Linked DNA regions of Arabidopsis thaliana. The protein of the gene in region 2 interacts with the protein of the main gene of each other region in a pairwise test. Each region holds a gene or a part of one and is shown on either strand. Other genes may lie near its edges.

Region 1 (10,790 bases), on a different chromosome or scaffold from region 2:
CATCCTAACTAAACAGTACAAACTCTGATTACTCAGAAAATGTTAAAATGTATTGCCGGACCAAACCAACGATTTGGTTTTTGATATATTAAAAATGTAGTGCCGCTTGATTCGGTCCATACATAGCCAATAGTTTCAGAAAAGGGGTTGGGTTGGATTCATTTAGGTAATGAATCGTATCATTTTTATTTTATTTGACGGTTGCACTACAGATATTTCATAGAAATTGATATTAGTTTAACAGGGCCTGCACTTCTCTAAAAATTATCGGTCTACAAACCCGACTTAACCGGTCTAAAACACACGTCACAATATCTCTAACAATAGACAAGTCTATTCAAAGTGGTCTATGATTAATTTGATCACTCTTATATATTATGCATGATGCTTCATCGTAGATGCTTGGGGTTGGGGATGAATTTCATCATTCATCACTGCTTCTTTTCTTTGAATCATTCCTTCTTTTCTTTCTCCGTAATCAAAGTGCATTCATCTTTCTTATATAACATTGTCTTGACATTTTCAGCTCTAAAGAAAGTTGGGTGTGTTGGCAAACTAGTCACTTTTTCAAACTTAATTGGAAAAGTAGTCACTTTACTATTCATAATTTGCAAAGTAGTCACTTTTCACTATTTGATTCGTACACTTGGATTGTACAACACTTTTAGTGTACAAATGTAAAGTGTACGTTGTGTATTTTTATATATATATGTACACTAAAAGTGGTGTACAAATCTAAGTGTACGAATCAAACAGTTAAAAGTGTTTTTGTTTTTGGAGAATGGATGCTCTATCTTGCTAGTCCCATAAATCGTGTTTTTATTGTCTACTTCAATGTTGTTGTGCCTTGCACCGCATTTTTTCTTCTCAACCAAATACTTAAGCTCGCTAACTAGTCTTTGTAACTCGTTGATGTAAACGATCCCATCTTGAACAATGGATGCTTCACCTCCCTAGTAATAGAGCATGTGTATTGATCAAGAGATATTGGAGAGAATGAATGAAAGATTAAACAGACGAAAAAGAATGAAAGATTAAACATAAAAATATATATCTAACCTTTGTGGGATTTGGAATGAGGTTCTTTAAGTCGAAGAAACGGTCATTGAAGAGAGCTCGTCTTTCGCGTTCTGTAAGGAAAGTTCTCGACTTCTTTGATCCTTTTCCTTCCTCTGCCTTGAACCTCTCGTTTTTTTTTGTGTAACGTTCCATGAAGATGGTTCAATACTCTAGAAGATTATCAATTTCAAGAGAAGAAACAAAGTTTCTTTAACAAGTCTCTCCCTCTCTGTATTTTGATTGAATATAAGGAGATTTGCAGATGGAATTAAAATTTTCTATTTTTTTTTCACTTAGGACACAAATTTATTATTTTATTTTTTTAGGACACAAAATGTTGACTTGACTTAATTAGCACTATGTTTCTAACCTATTTCACAGTAATGTCTTAAATAGATGTTGTTAAACATATTTTATGTCTATTTTTTAGCTTAATAAAGTTGTGCTTTTGCTGAAAAAATTATGAAATTATACCCTATATTATCTTTACAATTGAATAACTCTTCGACTGGATTACACAAACAACAAACAGATCGAAGATGAGGGATTTGGGTAGATAGTTTCCTACATATAAAGTTTTCATTATTTGTTAATAAATTGACAATTACTACTTCATCCCCAATAATCATTCATGATATCACTTCGTTTTAACCTCATTTATCTATGTGCATCACACTCGTAGAAGCGATGATTCAGAATGTCCAAATTTCGACGTTAACTGTTTTGAAGAAAATAAATTGAGAAACATATCTATTTGTCTCTCTCTTAATAATATCAACAAACGCTAGAAAAATATTATAAGTTTTATGTTGCGGTTAGATCATGCCATATATGTTTATAGCAGTATGAAAGAAGATGAAGAGGTAGGTCCCTCATCCAAAAATGTGAAAATATAATTTCATATTTAATTATTTTTTATTTTTTATTTTTTTTTGTAACGTGATGATTTATGGATACTCTCGTAACTTTATAGAAACTGAAAATTTTCTTGTCACCTACTTCTCTCGTACACAAGTACAGAAGTAGTTGCTATTGTTCCCAACCTACCTAGTCATACAAACTTTGGAACCATAACGATGGTTGTATCAATTTTAACAAAGAAATACCAAGTGTTTCTTGGTTTAATGGCTTCTTTCACTGGCCGAGGTAGGACGAATTTTTATTGGGTCAAATTTTTAATAAAAGAAAAACATGAAAATGTATTTAGTAAGCGAATGTGTTTAATCTTAATCTGTAAACCCAAATTTTATAAGGTTTCTAGAAAAAATGTGGGGTTTTAGGGTTTTTTTTGAAGTAAAACATAAGTCAAATTTATAGGGGTCAATATAAAATTTTCAGTGGGGTCAATCTTACAATTTCTTTTTTTTTTTAATTATTTATTTTTGTTGGGTCAGTTGACCCCATTCCCTTACAATTGCCTCTGCCACTGGTTTTTAATTTTTTAAAGAGAACATATACAAGAACATTGAAAAAGAGATATGCCTAGTTCGGATTGCAGTTAGAAAGAGGGACATTCCAAAGATAATCGTCTAAAAGTTGCCTCCAGATATTTGGAGAATATAGAAAAAACTCGGAGCTTAACGAAAAGATAACAAATCTAACATAGAAATGATGAACTTATGATGTTGAGTAATATGTTCATTCCTTTAGGTCTTCTAATTTGTAGGCTCTTTGGCTCATTTGAGGGATCCAAATCATACATATCTTGTTAGAAACTAAACATCCAAATCATCCAAAATGAGTTTTTATTTAGTTTTGCAAATGAGTAAAAATTACATGGATTAAAAAACGTTAGAAAATAGATGAAGTTAGCCTAACAATTAATAGTTACTGTTGGGAAGAGAAGCCATGTAGTGTTTATCCACAACTTCAATCACTCTGTTTGCTATTGCACTTGCATATATTGTTGATCCTTCATATATCTGCAATTTATTCAATCATTATTACCAAAACTAAATCCAGTATATATCAAAATCCATAAACCAAGATTTGTTATATATATATATATATTCATTGATCACTAACCTTGGTGTTGAACAAGAAACTGTAATGCTCACCAATCTGTCCTCCGGCAACATGGTGAAGATCAAGCTGAAGCTGATCAAGTACTTTGGAGACAAGTAACAAACAATTGATCTTCTTCTTCTGAACAACTTTGATTGTTACTTCATCATCAACAATCCTAACATCAACTTCTGTTACTTTTGATTTCCTCTGCAGCCATGAACATCTCAGCGAGTTGTTGCTTGAACATTGGTCTATTACATCGCTCTCCGGCTTCTTCTCCATGTTTTCATCATCATCATCATCATCTTCATTACCATGATCATCCAAGTTTTTGTTGTTATTGTTGTCGTCTACTTCATTGTTCTTGTGTCTCCCACCACATCTCTTCCTCTCTACCAAATACTTAAGCTCACTTACTCTTCTGCGTAACTCGTTGATGTAATCGATTCCATCTTGAAGAATTGATGCTCTATCTCCCTAAATAACATATAATATGAATTAAGCAAAGTGCCATTGGAGATAATGAATGAAGCTAAACCAAGAAAGATTGTTGTCATAAGTAAATAACTAACCTTACTCGGGCTAGGAATGAGCAATTTCAAGGCCTCGTACCGCTCATTCAAGTGACATCTTCGCTCACGTTCTGTAGTAAAAGGTTTGTTCTTTCGCTTCCCTCTTCCTTTACGCCTAATCTCTTTGCTAAACTCGATGATTCCGCTATCAAACTGAGCATTGTTATTTTCATCTCCAACATTAGACTCATCTCTTTGAGTAGTAGTATTGGTATCAATACCAAGCAAGTACCCTGAGTAGTCATTAGAAGGGATCAATGGAGGTTGTGGAGGAAGGTTTAAGTGAAAGAGCGGGTCATACGTGAAGCAAGAACCCGCCATTATATCAGAGCTTGGTAATGACATAGAGCATCTAGGCAAATGCAAGAGGCTGAGAAGATCAGGGATTGGAGTTGTTGTTGTGTTTGGATGTGAAGTGTTCATGAAGAAATTAGAGTTGTCTTCAGAAACACCCCAATTCGATTCTTGAATCATTTGGTTGATCAAATGGTTGTTGTTGCTGATGTTTTGGTTCTGAGTTTCTGAGTTTGGGAGAGAGATAACAGAAGGGAAAACAGAGAACTCATCCATTGTTGGGAGCTTAAGATCGTCATCAAAGCTGTTTGTTGTGCTTCCAAGCGGTGGTTGAAACTGGTGGCTTACCGTAAAAGTTGTTTCCGCCGCACAGAAGCCGCCGTTGTTGTCCACCATCGAATTAGGATCAAAACATGAACTTTCCTCATACATTTTCAACTGATTTTTTTCTGCAACCAAAACTAATTTTCACAACCATAATTAATCTTTAAGACAAAAGCCAATCTAAGTTAATTTCATTAAATAAAGAAAGTTTGTATAAACTCAGTTAAAACCTAATCTCAAACTAATTCCCTTAAGCACCTTTCTTTTAGATTGGAAAAGAAAAATCCTCTGTTTTTGTGTTTTGATAGCTTCTCTTCTATCACTTTTTTAGTATTGATTCAAAAATCAGACTTTGTTTAGAGAATGAAATTATCTAATTACCAAAAGTTAGAAGATGATGATCTTTTTCCTTCTTTGTCGTCTTTGAAGGTTACCACCAGCTATATTTCAGCTTCACAATGTCAAATCAAAGATCATTTCAACATTTAGAGCTTAAATCAAATGTAGGAAAAAAGAGAGAAGCTTTTTTGGTTTGCTTTATTTCTGTTTGATGGAGTTTGGGTGTGTGTTTGTGTCTTTTGGGTCTTTCTTGTTCCCATAGGAGAGGGTTTTTTGGACGTGTTTGTATTGTTTTGGACAGCTCTCTACTAAATACTTCAAGACAGAGGAAACAATTTTTCTTTTCTTTTTTTTCTTCTCCCTTTTATGAATGAGAACAAAATGGTTCCAACCTTTAATTTCTGACACAAACAAAGCTTTAATTCTTTACTAAGACATGTTCTAATATTTGGAGAATTATTAGAAAGTTTAGTTATTTTCTTTTAAACGTAATTCAAGCCGTGTATTTATAAACTACTAGAGTTTGGAGCAAGAAAAATTAAAACTAATGAAATATGTTGGAACTAATAGATATATTTTACTTTCCAGTTCCACTTCTTATTCTAAAATGTTCCCCAATGTCAAACAAATAGTGGATACATGATGATAATAGACTGAAGGAAATGGACCTTAATATGAGATATGATAAATAAACATATAAAAATAATGCAATCTCCTTCCTAATTGAGATTTCAGTTGGGTCATGCAATCTCGCTTTTGGCCACAACGGCAATGGACCCCACTTGCAACCTCCTAATTCCTTACATTTTTTCTCAAATGGTCAAGGGTATTTATGTCATTTTGACTCCAGTTTGGTAACATTTTTCTTTTTGACATCACAGTTTGGTAACAGTTAAGCAATTAGGAATTAGGAATGGTAGGTTAAGTATACAACCTCATAAAATGGTTTTGCTCTCAATGGAATCGGAAGGGGATATGCGGAAACAAGAAAGAGGTTTTTTTTGTTTTGTTTTAGAAAGCAGGTATATGATAGAACTATTATACATACAACTTAAATTTTACTACACCGAAGAAAGTGAGAAAAAGAAACCACAAATGATGAGGGAAACTTTACACACTACCACTTTCTATATTGTTCGCAAGGATTAGACTCGAATTCAAGATGGCTACAACAAGAGCTTATACAGAATTTGCTAGACTAGTTTAAGAACTCTCTCATCATGCTCATCAACATTCTCGTTATCTACTAAAGAGAAGTTTCTTCTCCCTCTTAACATTACTAATATATCAACCTTTTACGATCTTAAACCATATTCAGTTTACCTAAGCTTTAGGTTGTGCAATCTGAAACACCAGAGGTTATACAGTTTGACATAGAACATGAAACTGTGTTTACACAAATCAATCCACAGAGAATACGAATTATTCATTACATTACCATAAGTTTTGAATAGACATAGCAATCTTGCTTGCTCTCAGTTCGCTCGTTCGCGTAACACTTCAAGATCAACCTCAGTAGGATCAGTAGCTTGAATCTCATAGTGAATCCCTTGAAGCTCCCTACTTAACTGGTCTTTAGAAGTCGAGTAAAGCACCTTGGCTCGAATTCCAGAGGTCGAAGGAGACCTACAACATCAGTAGTCCCAAATCAAAATGTTTTAGTCTCAACACATCAAAACCCTTATAGACTTACTAATGGTAAAAATCAAACTAACCAAGCAAAGAAGAAGATTTTGCTCTTTTGACAATTCTCAGAAGTAACGAAATCAAAGTCATAAACAGCGTATCTGCAGTCATTATCAGGAAGTGAAGCTAAGAAATCATCGTAGCTCTCTGTAGGATTTCCAGTTTTCTCAACAACAACTTCTTTTTTGGATTCATCAATCTTGAAGACCACATAGCGATGAGTTTTTTTCCTTTGAAGCTCTAGAAATGTGGTTTTGCTCTCATCTGCAACACCCATTCCAGATATTGCATTTGGCTACAGATATAAAACCAAAACACATATCAAAACCATACCAAAAGATTCGATTTTTAATCCAAAATTCATCGAATTGACTTCATCTAGTGATCTTAAACCCTCAATAAGAGTAAAAATGGAGATGGGTTTAGTTTTTTTTAACATCGACTTCATAAAAATCAAATTTTTAACATTGAAGATGCTTGCGACATAGACAAGAGTACATCGATTTTAAGCAAGAAGAGAAAAGTTTTTTTTTGTAATTTTACCCTGCTAAGTCCTCTGAAAGACATGGATTTGATTCTGCTTTCTTCAGACACCACAGAATTGGGTTAGAGAGACGAAGACGACACGAACTTATCAAACAAATAAAATCGGATGCGTCGCTTTGTTCTTCGTGCACACTTTTGCTTAGTAATTAAGTTTTTGAATTTTTAACTTTTTTTGGTTTATTGCAGAAGAAAAAGAAGTGTTCGGTCGGTGGCGTTAGAACAACGCGATAAGAAAAGTCGTGTTTCTTTTTAAGTGGGCCATATTTGTTGCCCCTTAACTAGTCGCCGCGTATCTATCAATATTGGGCCTTAATTAAGCCCATTAGTGAATAGTAACAAAAATCATTTGGGCCTCAGAAGTAGAAAAGGAACGAAGAAACGACGTCGTTGTTAAGATAATCTCTTTGATTTTGTTTTTAGACGGCTCTAGGCGATTACTGTTGTGGTGGTTCACTCCAACTCCGGCGACTCTTAACGTTCGGAACCTGACTGTGCCATCGTGTCTCAGAGATGCAGTTTCTTGTAGGATTTCACAATCTTTATTCTATTGTATTTTTAATCTCATTTTATGATTCTCCAAACTATAGTGAATGACTTTGTAACTTGGGGAACGAAGCAGGAGAAGGTGAAGTTGATAAAGAAGGAAGACCCAGTAATGTTGAAGAGCCCTGAAGACTTTCCGGTTTACTGGTTCGAAACCTCTGATTCTGTCTCTCACCGTTATCAGTTCCAATCCGACGGCCACCTCTCTGTAAATCTCCCTCTCCCTCGTTCTTGTCTCTCTTATGCCATTGCTCTCAACTTGTAGAATCATTATGTGAATTATCACGTTTTAGATGAAAGTTGTTGATGATGCAAGACCTGTTCCTCAGAAGATGGTTGAATCTTTCCTTAACAAGTTCTTTCCTTCTGGTTATCCATACAGGTGAACTCAAAGTTTGGAACTTTTGTTTTTAGAGAGTCTCTAGGCTTTAGCCTTAAAGCATGTGTTTTAACCAAGTTTCTTTCTTTACTTCTTCTCTATAGTGTCAACGAAGGATATCTTAGGTACACACAGTTTCGAGCACTTCAGCATTTCTCTAGTGCAGCATTATCAGTGTTATCGACTCAGGTCTTCTTCATGATTCAGCTTTGATTATTGATTTTGGGAAAATTGCATTTGTTTACTTGAGCTGTTGTAATGGAGGTTTTCACATGGACACATAACTTTTTTTTGTATCATTCCTTTGCAGTCACTGTTGTTTGCTGCAGGCTTGCGGCCTACACCGGCACAAGCAACTGTTGTTAGCTGGGTATGTTAAACCACTTCAGTTTGTTTGTTCGTTTGCTTGTTCAGTCCCTGTCCGTAAGTGAAAGTTTTGTTTACTCTATTGGTTCTGTAGATATTGAAGGATGGGATGCAACATGTCGGAAAGCTAATATGTAGCAATTTGGGTGCAAGAATGGACTCTGAGCCTAAACGGTGGAGGATTCTGGGTATGCACCATTCTGTAGCTACATGTTTCTGCTGATGTCTTTATAGCGTTAACTATAAAAAGTATTGATTCATAATTTTCAGCTGACGTGCTTTACGATCTTGGTACTGGTCTGGAACTCGTTTCTCCATTATGCCCGCATCTGTTTCTTGAAATGGCTGGTCTGGGGAATTTTGCTAAGGTATAGATATCTTTCTTAGAACATCTGTGCCTGCTTTCCTCAGCAGCTTCAATAGGAGACCTATGAGATATATTAGCTTTCTAAAGACCATCCTTTTATACATCAATCAGCTTCACTGGTTTCCTGTTTTTCATACTTTTCTGGCATTGTTTGTTTTAAATAGGGAATGGCTACAGTTGCAGCAAGGGCAACAAGATTACCAATATATTCATCTTTTGCCAAAGAAGGAAATCTTAGTGACATTTTTGCAAAAGGAGAAGCTATCTCTACTCTTTTCAATGTTGCCGGGATAGGTGCTGGTATTCAACTTGCGTCCACAATATGTTCATCAATGGAGGGAAAGGTAATGTCATTCTGCTACATCGTTACTCTCTATTTCAAAATGCAGTTTCTATTTGTTTGGATTGCAACTCTATTATGAAAAGGCTGATATCTGCAGTTGGTGGTTGGGTCAATTCTTTCGGTTGTACATGTGTATAGCGTTGTAGAACAAATGCGAGGGGTACCAATCAACACACTGAATCCACAGCGAACCGCTTTGATTGTGGCTAATTTTCTCAAGGTAATTAGCATCATCTTTTGTTCAATTTTTCTGTAAACCATCTTGTTGATTTCTTTTAATTACATAAGAGGTGTTGTTGTATCTTCTCAGACTGGTAAAGTCCCAAGCCCTCCTGATTTAAGATTCCAAGAAGACCTAATGTTCCCCGAGAGACCAATCCAAGACGCAGGAAATGTAAAAGTGGGAAGGGCTCTCCATAAAGCTGTGAAGCCTTCTGAGGTACAAAGACTAAAACAAGTGTTTGTAGAAGAGAAGTTTCTATTGAGTCATGGAAAGTCATGGACCGATATGGTCTTAGAGCACGATGCAACCGGTGAAGATGCATTGCGAGGGTGGTTAGTTGCAGCATATGTCAAGTCAATGACAAAGATATATAATGACCCTGATGACATTATATTGCAAGACGCGTATGACAAAATGAACGATGTCTTCAATCCATTTTTATCTCAAGTGCAAGCTAAAGGATGGTATACTGATAGATTTCTCGATGGCACGGGGACAAGATTTGCTTGGTAGCTCCCGAGTTTCGAGTAATTTTGCTATTGTAATTTTTTATTGTTTCAAGTATAAACACGAATTTGTAGGCGTAAGAAGTCTTTATCCAGATCATGAATCCACAATCTAGTACTTTGAAGACTTAGATGGATTAGATTAGAGTGAGATTGTTAGGTGAAACAAAAGTTTGAAGGTACGGTTCTTGTCCTCGTTTGTACTTTTGTTTTGCCATTGTAAGTTTACATATTTTATCATATATATCAATCAAAATGGAATCTGATTAATGCTTTTTATGGATATATATATATATATATATTTATTTAAAGTTAAAATAGTTCTCTTGGTCAAATCTTGTGTACGGGCTCTATTTTTCCTTAGACCTGGACCCTTCCTTAGTCTTCATTTTGGGATATTTTGATCAGTGAAAATGTCCCAAATATATCACTTTTGTTGCATGTTGTTACATATAATATTTGATAAATGCAATTATCAGAACTACCTTATACGAGGGTTAGCCAATGCTACTGCCTACTGGACACATAACTAGTAAGATTCTGATAGAGCATGAGAGGAGGTAAAAGATTTTGTTGGTTAAGTTGTGTTTCAGGTTTGGTTAGACTTAGACCAAACTTAATTTCAAATTATCATTATGCATGTTGTTAATAAATAAAAAAAACTACAGAAAATAAAAATGTCATTAATGTATTAAAATTAACATTTCAACCTTTCATGATTATTTAGCAATTTGTTAAGTGATGAAAATGTTTACTTTGTTATTCTTATACAGATTTCAAAATTTAGTTGAGACATTTTATTTTAGGGATAGCTAGTTGGATCTGATTGAAGAAGATAAGTAACACCTTTTTAAATATTAACTAGTGAAATGTTTAAGGCTTCTTTACTTTTGACATGCATGTATAATCAATAATGCAAATCAGCCGACCCTTGGAAAATTACAAAAAGAAGCGACAAAGTTAGTAGTTGAATGGACCCACAAATATCTAGATTTCGTTAGGTCACGATCCATTTGAATTTATCAATTATCAAACAAAACACTTGCATTAAAAACATGGGAACTCCACAATTATATTGGAGTAGTGTTGTAAGAGAAGATAACCCTCGTTGTATTAGAAAATGAAACCCCAAAAAGAAAACGGAAAGAGAAAAAAAAAATTGTGAAAAAGGGCAAGATCTTGGTAATGATGGAATTAGATATCGACGATCTTCGTTTTGTTTTAGTCTATTCTTTT
Region 2 (9,985 bases):
AAGATCTCCTTAATGGAGATATTAATTACCTAATTTATAGTTGACAAAAAATCATCTAATTTGTCTTCCTAATCCTTTTTAAAAATCCACAATATTCTATATACCTTTATAAGATTCTGACTGTGACTGGTATTATTACAGAGTGTGGAAATTAAATAATGTGTAGTGGAATCACGATATTGTGAGAATAAATCATTAAATTAAGACCAATTTTTTTAAAAATTTTTTGTCTTTAATATGACAGAATAAGTGGTTTACCAAAAAATAAAAAAATAACAGAAAAAGTGAACATACTCAATAAAATAGTATTGATTGATAAAACAGCAAAAAAAGAAACACAAATTATCTAATCTTTCGGCCATTCCACGAAGTAGGCTCTAAATTTGTAGGAAGTAATGGAACGAGACATCACATTTTATACACAAATTAACACCAGACTTTACAGTTCTTAGAACAAAACTAATCTATGAGTTTTCATGTGTAATGTACTAATGTTACATTTTTGATTCAGTATAAGAGTCTAATTCCACAAACTAGATGTGTCCAAATGCTGCGGAGGAGTGGAGAAAGTACTTGAGATCGGCATCAGACAAAGACCGCGGCTTCGAAGATCTTGTCTTGGACTACAATTTTGATTATGAGTATTATTGCTTGATTTGTCTGACCACTAGAAATTGAAAGAATCTTATTAATGATCATAAGCAAAAGAACAAAAATCAAACTACTTAATTGATTTTAGATTATAGAGTTGTTTAACCGTTAACTAAGTTAAGTACCTGCTTCTGTTCACCAGATCCTATAGAGTTCAGGTGTGGACTAGTAGAGACCTTTTCCTATTTAAATGATTATAAAAAGAATAAATATAACAGTTAACTAAAACCAACAATTAATTAGTAGTAGTATTTCATATTTGAGAGATTATCAACTTACAGTGATTTGTTCTTGTAGAAACTTGATGTAATCTATAGCATCATGGAGGACAGAAGCAGTGTCTGTCTGTAAAAATCATCACAAAATAATAATAAATAAATTTGAAAACAGAAGTAGCTAAAAAAATTTCGTAATTATGTATGGATAATATATAGTAGAGATATCAATATAACAGATCATGAATTCATGATGAACACAAACCTTGCCAAAGGGTGAAACTAACTGTTGAAGCGCGGTAATTCGATCTCCGAGTTTCTCTTTACGAACCTTATCAATCAAAATAGTTTTTGGAAAAATATCAGCAATAGTTTGTGCATGGGTATGTGTTTCTTAGCATAACTAACTTTTTTTAGTGATAAATGACAATCCTTGAAAACTGTAGTAAGATCATTTGTTACTAACTTTGAAGCTCGGAAAATGAGATGGTGTCTCAAGTCTTGGCCTTTTTAATGGCTGTGATGACTCAATATCTTCGAGTTCTCCACTTTTCTCACTTGCTCTCTAAAAATAATTGGTCACAATGTCAAAATCTACAGAAATATTGTAAAATATCTCTATTAAAAGAAACTAATTAAATAGATTTGCCCACCTTGCATGTAGTCAGACTCTTGCAAGCTTGCATGTCTTCCTTGGGTTTTTGGTGATCAAATACTGATATCATTCTTGATTCGTTCGGGAAAACGTCATCAAAGAAGTGAAAGCTTTCGAATAGTTCTGGTTTGGGACAGTTAGGAACCAATAATTGCTCACTAGAATCAAACAATCCTTCTAGAAAACTATTTATCTGATTGTATCGTTCTTCTTCATGGCTGGTAAAAAAGAGAAAAGAAAAAGAATGTCAGGATTCAGGAACAAAGATCATGATTTTACGTTATACGTCACGTAAGATGATAAATGGACTTACATGTTAGATGGACTCGAAACGTAGATTTGTGATGTGGTATCAAGATTTGCATTGCCTAAGAATGTGGAAGTACTAAGGTAGTTCTCGTTGTAAGTTTTGGCATCAAGGGTATCAATGTTTTGCCATTCAATCTCACCAAAATCGACAACAATCTCCGCGGAACGTGGCAGAGAACAGCCTGAGAACATGCCGTTGGAGGAGCTCCACCATGTTCCGGTACAAACTCCCGTAGTGTCGAATTCTTCTGTCATGTTTTGTTGGTTACGTAGACAATGGTTTAGTTTGTGTAGACTTATTTCTTCGTAAGTGTCAGAGTTTGCATGAGACAGTAATGATGTTGATGATGGGGATTGTATTTATATGTAGCGATGAGGTTTAAGTCAACTAACAAAGTTATAATATTTGTTAAAAAAAAGTTTTGTACAAGAGTTTTATATGTTATTGGTACTTCCCTAATTAATCTATTAATTATTTAGATAATGTATGTTTATCAGAGTAGTCGATAGGAAGTTAGGTCAAGCAAATTAAGTAATTAAAAGATGACAAATTTTTTTTACCAACGTACGTACAATGTAAAGTTTAGTTTTGATTTTGGTTAATCAAATAAAAACTTTGATGTACATGTGAGTTTGTGAGTTGTGACCCTATCTTCTCAAACATTGTAAAACAGAGTTAATTTCTTACTATCATCATAATTACTACTTTTCTTACTCTTTGATATGGGATGGTAATACTAAAATGTTTGATATATGTTGAAGTATATATATTTATTTATTTATTTTTATGTGTTGAACGCAGTTGAAGTATTAACTTGTCAAGGGGAAAAAAGTAATAAAATTTTAGTTAAACAAATAATGTGAATATATTTTTAATTAAGTCATCGTACGGATATGGTATTTATTTTACTTGCAAATTGTATATTTGTATAGCAATGCATATTTATTAACTACTGTTTTGGGGGTTTACTGATTCAAATAATTAAAAACAAAAATGACGTCACAGTTATATATGTCAATATAGAAAGAATATGTTTGTCGTCCAAAAAATAATCTCATTTTTGGGATGGTCGATGAATACGTACAAGGAAAAGAAAGTCAGCGTTACCAAATCCATCGCAAAAGGGTAGTTGTTGGCTGGCCTCGTTTTGATCTATACGACTCCGGACGTCTTTTGTTTGTACACAGTTACGTGCGCATATCTGACCTACGTGTCGACTCTTTAAAAAAAAATGTAAAAACTTCAAACAAATATGGATTTACATTGTAAACAAATTTTTTTTGAAATATATGGATTTAGATCAATCTTGCTCTTTGGAGAAAATAGCTTATTGGTTTTGCTTCAAGCCTCTCCAAATGATATCATAACTTATAGGAATTAGGATTACACTTAATTGAGTTTCATTGTGCTTTATATATGGATATGACAACAAAAAGAGAGTTATCGAAATAAGTTTTTTTTCCCTAATTGAACAGAAAATATAAATTAATACAACTATTTGAAAAGAAGTAGTTAATAAGACGTATACCATATATGCATTCACCAAAGAATGAAGACTTTCTTTAATTATAATTTTTGTTTTGTAATGGACATGATTAAAATATATATTTTTACTTTCTGAAATTTATTAAAATGAATTGTTGATATTCGGATATAATCACTAACAAACAACTGTATAAATGTATAAATGGATTAAGTCAGACCGTCCCCTCCAATCCATTTGGGTTATTTTAGGTTTGATCTTTAAATTTAGAAAGATTCCCAAAATATGTGCTCATGTCATATGGTTTGACTCAGCAAATTATTTTAATATTTTTAGTCAATAGATATATTAAATATTTGTAGACTTCGAGTGACTTAGGTTACAGTACACCAACTTCAATAAGAAGAATTTAACCAAGTAAATTATTAATTAATCAACCTTCACTGGTTTTTCTGTTTATATACAATTTAACTTGTTTTCATACGATTTGAGTTCAATAGAATTTTAAGACCAACATTCTTAAGACTATATAGAGATTGTTGATTTGATTCATTTGACATGAGGAAACGGTCCATCGTTTTATTTCATTGAGAGTGGAAACTATAAATTATTTTATATTGTTAATCAAATATGTCGTGGAGTAGGGAAAGTCAGAGATGATAAAGGTATATTATTATTTTTATAAAAAAATAGTTAATAGGTTAGGAAAATGTCTTTTGATTTTGGCTCTATTGAATAGTTTTGATATTTGAATAAAAAAACTTAGGTTTCTACCAACTTCCAACCTTACACAAATGAACATCACTATTCACTACTCACCATTTGGATGGTTGAAATTAAATGGGCTCAACTTGAGAATGGCCCATTTAAGAGCTAATTCATTCTAAGCCCATTTTAAAAAGAAACCCCCATTGCTCGGATCCTAGAGATAATATCTAGTGTTTTCTTTCTTTGACCTCAAACAGAGGATCATGAACATTTTGCAGCAACATATATGAAGACAAGAAGAAGCTCATTGGCTTGTAACACAAACTCTTTTTCATCTGAATCATATCATATTTAAAATGGAACAACAATGTAATAAAAACCAATGGAAATGTTATTAGATCAAGAAATTTCCAAGATGTATATAATTAATACTTATGGATTGCTTCTCATAACTTCCAAAAGAAAATCTTTTGTCTGTTCAACATCACAGAGTTCCTGTGTCTGAACAGAGGCACTAATAAGAATTGCTCCATTTGAAGTTGTTAGACTAATATCGATAATCTCGAATCCGAGAAATCTCATAACCTCCATGAATTTAGTAAAGATCCCATCTCTCTTCTCTGTTATGATCTTTAACCAAAACTTCCTCTCCCCAATCTTACACAATTGCACATTCTCCTGTCCCAAAAATAAAAAATCATCAAGAAAGATAAAGAAAATGAATCAAAAATCGATTAGAGAAATTTTAAAAACCTCGATTCCGAGTTTCTTCATCTCTTCGTTAAGATCACTAGTTTCAACTTCAGGTTTTATCATTGGATCCGTTTGTTCTTCATCAATCTCAGGAGGAGCTTCTTCCATTTCATGAAATGTCTCTAAGAGATTCTTAACATTGTTTTGAAGCTCTCCTATGTAAGTAATCGCATCTTCAACAATACTTGCTTTAGTCATCTGAAAACGAAACAAAAACAACAACAATCATCACCAAAATACCCATAAAATAATAATCGAGATTTGGGACTTACGTTGGTGACAATGGGGACATGAGATCGCAGAGCCATAAGCCGACAATGAAGCTTCTCTCTTCTACGTCTCTCTGCTTCAAGATTTGGAGATTTGAAGTTTTCATCTTCTTCCTTCTCTTTTGTTACTTGTTTCCTACGGCTCATCCTCACTGGTTCTTGAAATCTGCTTCCTCCACCCATTTATTTCTTCTTCTTTGATAATTTTTCAGACAAAAGTGTTTATATTCTTATTTATGTAATGGTGGTAAAAGACATGAGTTATATAGTTGCTTCTCATGTAGATAGAAGTCTGTTAGTGGAGAGAGAATAAAAGAGAGAATCTTAGTCTCAGTTTGTTATTAAGTGAATGTGATTTCAGTTAGAGTCAAATACAGAGACTAAAATAACAATTTTTGTTTTCATTATAGAGAGAAAAAACAATTTATGACGAATTGAGGAATCTTCTTATTCAAGGGTTCAAAACACGAATCCTTACAGACAAAGGAATGGTAACATTTCGAGTCCCATCAGTCCAAGTGAAACTACCAAAGAAAAAACCAGTGTTACTCTTATGACTCGACGAAACCCTAACTTTAAACCCAAGTTTCTTCGTGTTCGAACAGAACACTAGAGTCTCTGGTTCAACAACAATCTCCACACCTCGCGGAGGCTCGACCACGGCTCTGTAAACTGAGTCCACAGGTCCAACGTTAGTCACCGTTCTTGTGACGGTCACTTCTTCTTCAAGGTCGGGAATCGTGATGGCGGGATAGTTAAGATCGAGGATAGACGGTAATGGAGACGAGCATTTTGTGGGTTTTCCCGTGATTATAGTGATTGATGTATCGTTGTAACCAGTGGCGCAGAAATAGTGAATGTAATCGTCGATGTTCATGTCATAAACTAGTCCTGGATCTTTGGCTCTTTCCGCGTTCACGAGTCCTGCACCGTAGTCAAATGGATCAGCCAGTTTCCGTGGTTCTCCCTCCGCAAAGATTGGTTCCCCGGATGGATCAGTCTTCCATGCTATAATAACAAGAGAAGAAACTCTGGTAAGATTAAATTAACGAATGGTGGTTTTCTGGTGAGGAGAAGAAAGTGGTTTTCCATTTTCAAGAACCTGTAGTCATAATAGCAGATTTTAGCGCAGCAGGAGACCAGTCAGGGTGTAAAGCTTTGAGTAGTACGACGAGCCCCGCAACAACGGGAGTGGCATAGGATGTCCCTGTGCCTAGAAAATAACCGCCGAAAGAATCGGGGTAGGCTTGAGATGTAGCTCCTAAAATCGTCACACCAGGGGCTGCTATATCAGGCTGCATCATTTATAAACCCAAAGAAATTTCCATCATTAACAGGTGATCCTTAAATTGGAAACGACAGACAAGATTTTGAAACACTGTTTAGGGAAAGAACCTTGAGAATGGCAGGAGAGAGTCCATTAGGCCCTCTAGATGAGAATCCGCAAACTTGAGTCGCAATAGGACGTCCTACGAGCGTTTTACCAGTACTAATTTTAATCGTGGGAGAACTGAAGAGACCGCAAGCCATAAGAAGATGATCAGTTTTACATACTCTATGTGACTCGGAAGGATGATCAATCACAAAAAATATAAAATAAAGGATAGTATACCTTGACGAGCGGATGTATCGTAGAATCTTAGCTCCGACTTCATAGTCTACGTAGATGAATGGTTGATTATAGACAATATCACTTTGATAATCACCACTTCGTGCCACGATCAGCCCCGCCGCCTTGTTGATAGTTGTAGTCGCCAATGCGCTTGCCATTTCCCAATCTTCTTTCACAAACGTCAGGACAACTTTTCCCAGCATGCTAGAGGTGTCGGTTTTATAGTGTTCAATGTAAACTAAACCAGCAGATACTTCCTTACCTGTATATTGAGCTTGACCCTGAAACAGTTTTTAAGGGAAAAGAGTAAGTTTCCAAGACTAGTGAAACCCGATGGTGAAAAGACCTGAAAAAACATTTCACATACAATTATGGTAATGTTATTTCCAAAAGTCATGTCTGCATAAAAGGTACGGTCTATGTTAGTTGCAGCGACTGTGAGCATCCATGGGAATACATTAGCCACAGTGTAAGCTTCGGGGCCTGTATTAGAGGCACCAGCTATAACCGGAATGCCCTTCATCACCGCATGGAATGATCCAAGCTCCAAATCTCCCGTAATAGAGTCAATTGGGCGAAAAGGAGCCGCAGAGGCGAGAGAAATCGACAATACATCAACGCCATCGTTTATGGCCTCATCAAATGCCTTGACCATAGTCGCAGTGGATGACATCAAAAGTGCTCTATCCCAGACAATTTTGTACATAGCTATACGAGCCTTTGGAGCAGCGCCTCTCATGACACCAGGTGCAAGGCCACCATATGACACGTTAGGCACAAATGAAGAGGCTGCAATTGAAGAGACCATCGTCCCATGTCCTCTATAACCTCTAGGGGACATAAAGTCCTCCTCGCTGATTCCAGAATTGTTCTCATCAAAGCCATCAGTGAAGTACTTTGCTCCTACTAACTTCTTGTTGCAATGCTTTGCTGGGTCAAAATCCTCTCCGGCTACACACTTCCCTTTCCAATGTTTCGGTATTGGTTCAAGCCCTTCGTCATTATAAGCCGGAGACTCTGGCCATACTCCTGAGTCAAGAAAACCAATGACAAGATCACTTCCCATGTTGCTCTCATGGAGAACTCCTGAGGGAAAACTCGGCGAAAGACCCAAATAATCATAAATCCTCGTGCTCTGCAACTCAACTTTTCGATTTGGTGCGACACTGAAAACATCAGGACGGTCTGGATATAAACATGAAACAAACCCATAGAAAAACCAGAAAATGTGTCAGAAGATGTGTATAACAAGGCTTCACAAGGGCTCTTAATTTACTTGGTTGATATACTAAAAAACAAACCTGAAAGTTGCTTAGCTTGTGAGTCAGTAAGCCTGGCTGCAAACCCGGAAAATCCATGGTGGTAGTTGTAGACGATGGACTCTCGAGCAGCTTCCGCGCTTCATCATCAATACAAAATCATTAGCTCGAAAAACATGAGACATCATCATCAGAAAAGCGAAATCAAGAACTCGGTTTTTGTCATATACCTTTCGAAAACCGATTCCAACATCCTCTGGTGTGATTCAGAGACCAACTCAGAATCATCATGTCGCCTCACGCCTAAATGCACTACATATATCTACCACAATCAGAAACAAAACAAAACACGTTTCATCTATCAGTCACAATTTTGAGCAAACATAACACAACAAGGTCGAAACATAAGAACAAAGACAGAAACCATTTAAACAGACCTTTCTCTCCTCATTGCTGCTTTCTTGAGCAAACACACAAAACCCAACATTTACAATGAACAAGAATCCAATAAAGAGACCAGCTCTGGACCTTCCCTTCACAATTCCCAATATTCTTTGGGAAGAATTGTTTTTTGTTTTCCTCCTTGGTTTAAGCCTTAAAGTTTGGATTTTATGGTGTTGAAAAAACTTACAGAACAACAAATAGACATGAACAGCTTAGCAGGTAGTTAGTTGCTCACAATAGACAATAATCACAAACAACAATTAAAATAATCCAACGAAAAAAAACAAATGTCCAAATAGATTTAAACGAGACAAAATCCATTTTTGACAGAAGACAGTTTTATTATCAGTTTTACAACATGTCCTTCTTCCTGCTAATTTTGGGGCTGTTACTGAAAACAGCTCTTAACCAAAAATTTCATCTCCCGTTACTTTATTTACTTGCATTTGTAAAATCTATTTATGGGATATAAGATTACAATGACATACCGATAGATTAGAAGAACAAAAAAAGATCAATTTTTTTCTTCTAAGAAATCAAATTTGAATGAGTAGAAGGAGCTAGCAACAACAAAATTAGGGTTTAATTTCGAACTATTAACAAGATCTCAAATTAGATACCTCGAAATTTAGGTTACGTTCGCAATTATTTCAATAACAAAAAGGAAAATAGAGAAAAAAGATAGAGAGGAAATAGAGAAGCTTAGGTTAATGATGATCGACGACGAAGACGAATTAGCAACATTTGCAGTAATCTCTTTCGTGTCTTTTCTGGAATTCGATGCTTCTTCATCAATTCGCAGTAACCTTCTTCAATTTTACCTATTTCATCAATTCGCTGTTTTTATTTAGCCATTTTTATTCTTTTCCATATTCGGCCAAGTTTGGATTCTGTTTACAAATCACGTTTTCAATTAACAAAATTCATTTTAATGCATTAATCATGTGCTACTGTTACACGATTCAAAAGCATGCAGAAATAGTAAAACGGTGAATTACATATTGAACTAAAGTCTATATATCTTGTGAGGGACAATATTAGCAACAATAATTGTTAGAAAAAAATTCATAGCGCGGATCCACTAACTGGAGAGTAAATACATGAATGCCGAGAAAACATGAACTTGTTAATCATCGGGGTTTAAACAAATTACAGATTTACAGGAAAAAATTATCGATGAAACGTGTCCTTAGAGAGATTGGAATTGTGACATTGTGAACTTTATCACTCCAAGTCAAACTCCCAAAGTAAAACGCAGTGTTCACTCTATGTGAGCCTGGAGACACAGTTACCGTAAAAGCAAGCTTGTTTCTTGTTTTGTTAAACTTCAACTTCTTTGGCGAAACCACGACATTGAATCCGAATGGAGCCTCTATCACAGGCTTATAAACCGATTTGACACGTCCAACGTTGGTCACAGTTCGGGTCACATTGACTGTTCCCTTGAGGTCTGGGATTGTAATGGACGGTACATTGAGGTCAAGAATCGATGAACTTGAGCTCGGGCACTTGTTATTGACGTTTCCGGTTAGAGCAGAAACCTTCTTGTCTGTGTAAAGAGTTTGAGAACATAAGTAATGTGTGTAATCATTGATGTCCATGTCGTATACAAGACCGGGATCTGTG

Evidence for each region.
Region 1: the proteins of DYT1 (region 2) and AT2G31210 interact in a two-hybrid assay, tested with the Arabidopsis thaliana proteins (one study listed by BioGRID).

Annotation. Positions count from the first base shown.
Region 1 is NC_003071.7:13,290,229-13,301,018, reverse strand, and holds AT2G31210 (basic helix-loop-helix (bHLH) DNA-binding superfamily protein), read right to left. Parts: upstream 4,877-10,790; 5' UTR 4,638-4,876; intron 4,394-4,637; 5' UTR 4,365-4,393; coding exon 3,639-4,364; intron 3,544-3,638; coding exon 3,085-3,543; intron 2,982-3,084; coding exon 2,880-2,981; 3' UTR 2,742-2,879; downstream 1-2,741. Other genes in the region: AT2G31215 (basic helix-loop-helix (bHLH) DNA-binding superfamily protein), read right to left, coding at 717-953, 1,060-1,212; ADF6 (actin depolymerizing factor 6), read right to left, coding at 6,071-6,221, 6,311-6,576, 6,825-6,848; RUS2 (root UVB sensitive protein (Protein of unknown function, DUF647)), read left to right, coding at 7,338-7,349, 7,444-7,578, 7,664-7,752, 7,854-7,938, 8,060-8,119, 8,210-8,303, 8,386-8,483, 8,647-8,826 and 2 more.
Region 2 is NC_003075.7:11,345,164-11,355,148, reverse strand, and holds DYT1 (basic helix-loop-helix (bHLH) DNA-binding superfamily protein), read right to left. Parts: upstream 5,228-9,985; coding exon 5,048-5,227; intron 4,974-5,047; coding exon 4,776-4,973; intron 4,701-4,775; coding exon 4,455-4,700; downstream 1-4,454. Other genes in the region: B70 (basic helix-loop-helix (bHLH) DNA-binding superfamily protein), read right to left, coding at 521-667, 777-833, 931-996, 1,132-1,197, 1,333-1,431, 1,520-1,739, 1,835-2,085; AT4G21323 (Subtilase family protein), read right to left, coding at 9,517-9,985. UniProt on the Arabidopsis thaliana protein: Transcription factor. Involved in the control of tapetum development. Required for male fertility and pollen differentiation, especially during callose deposition.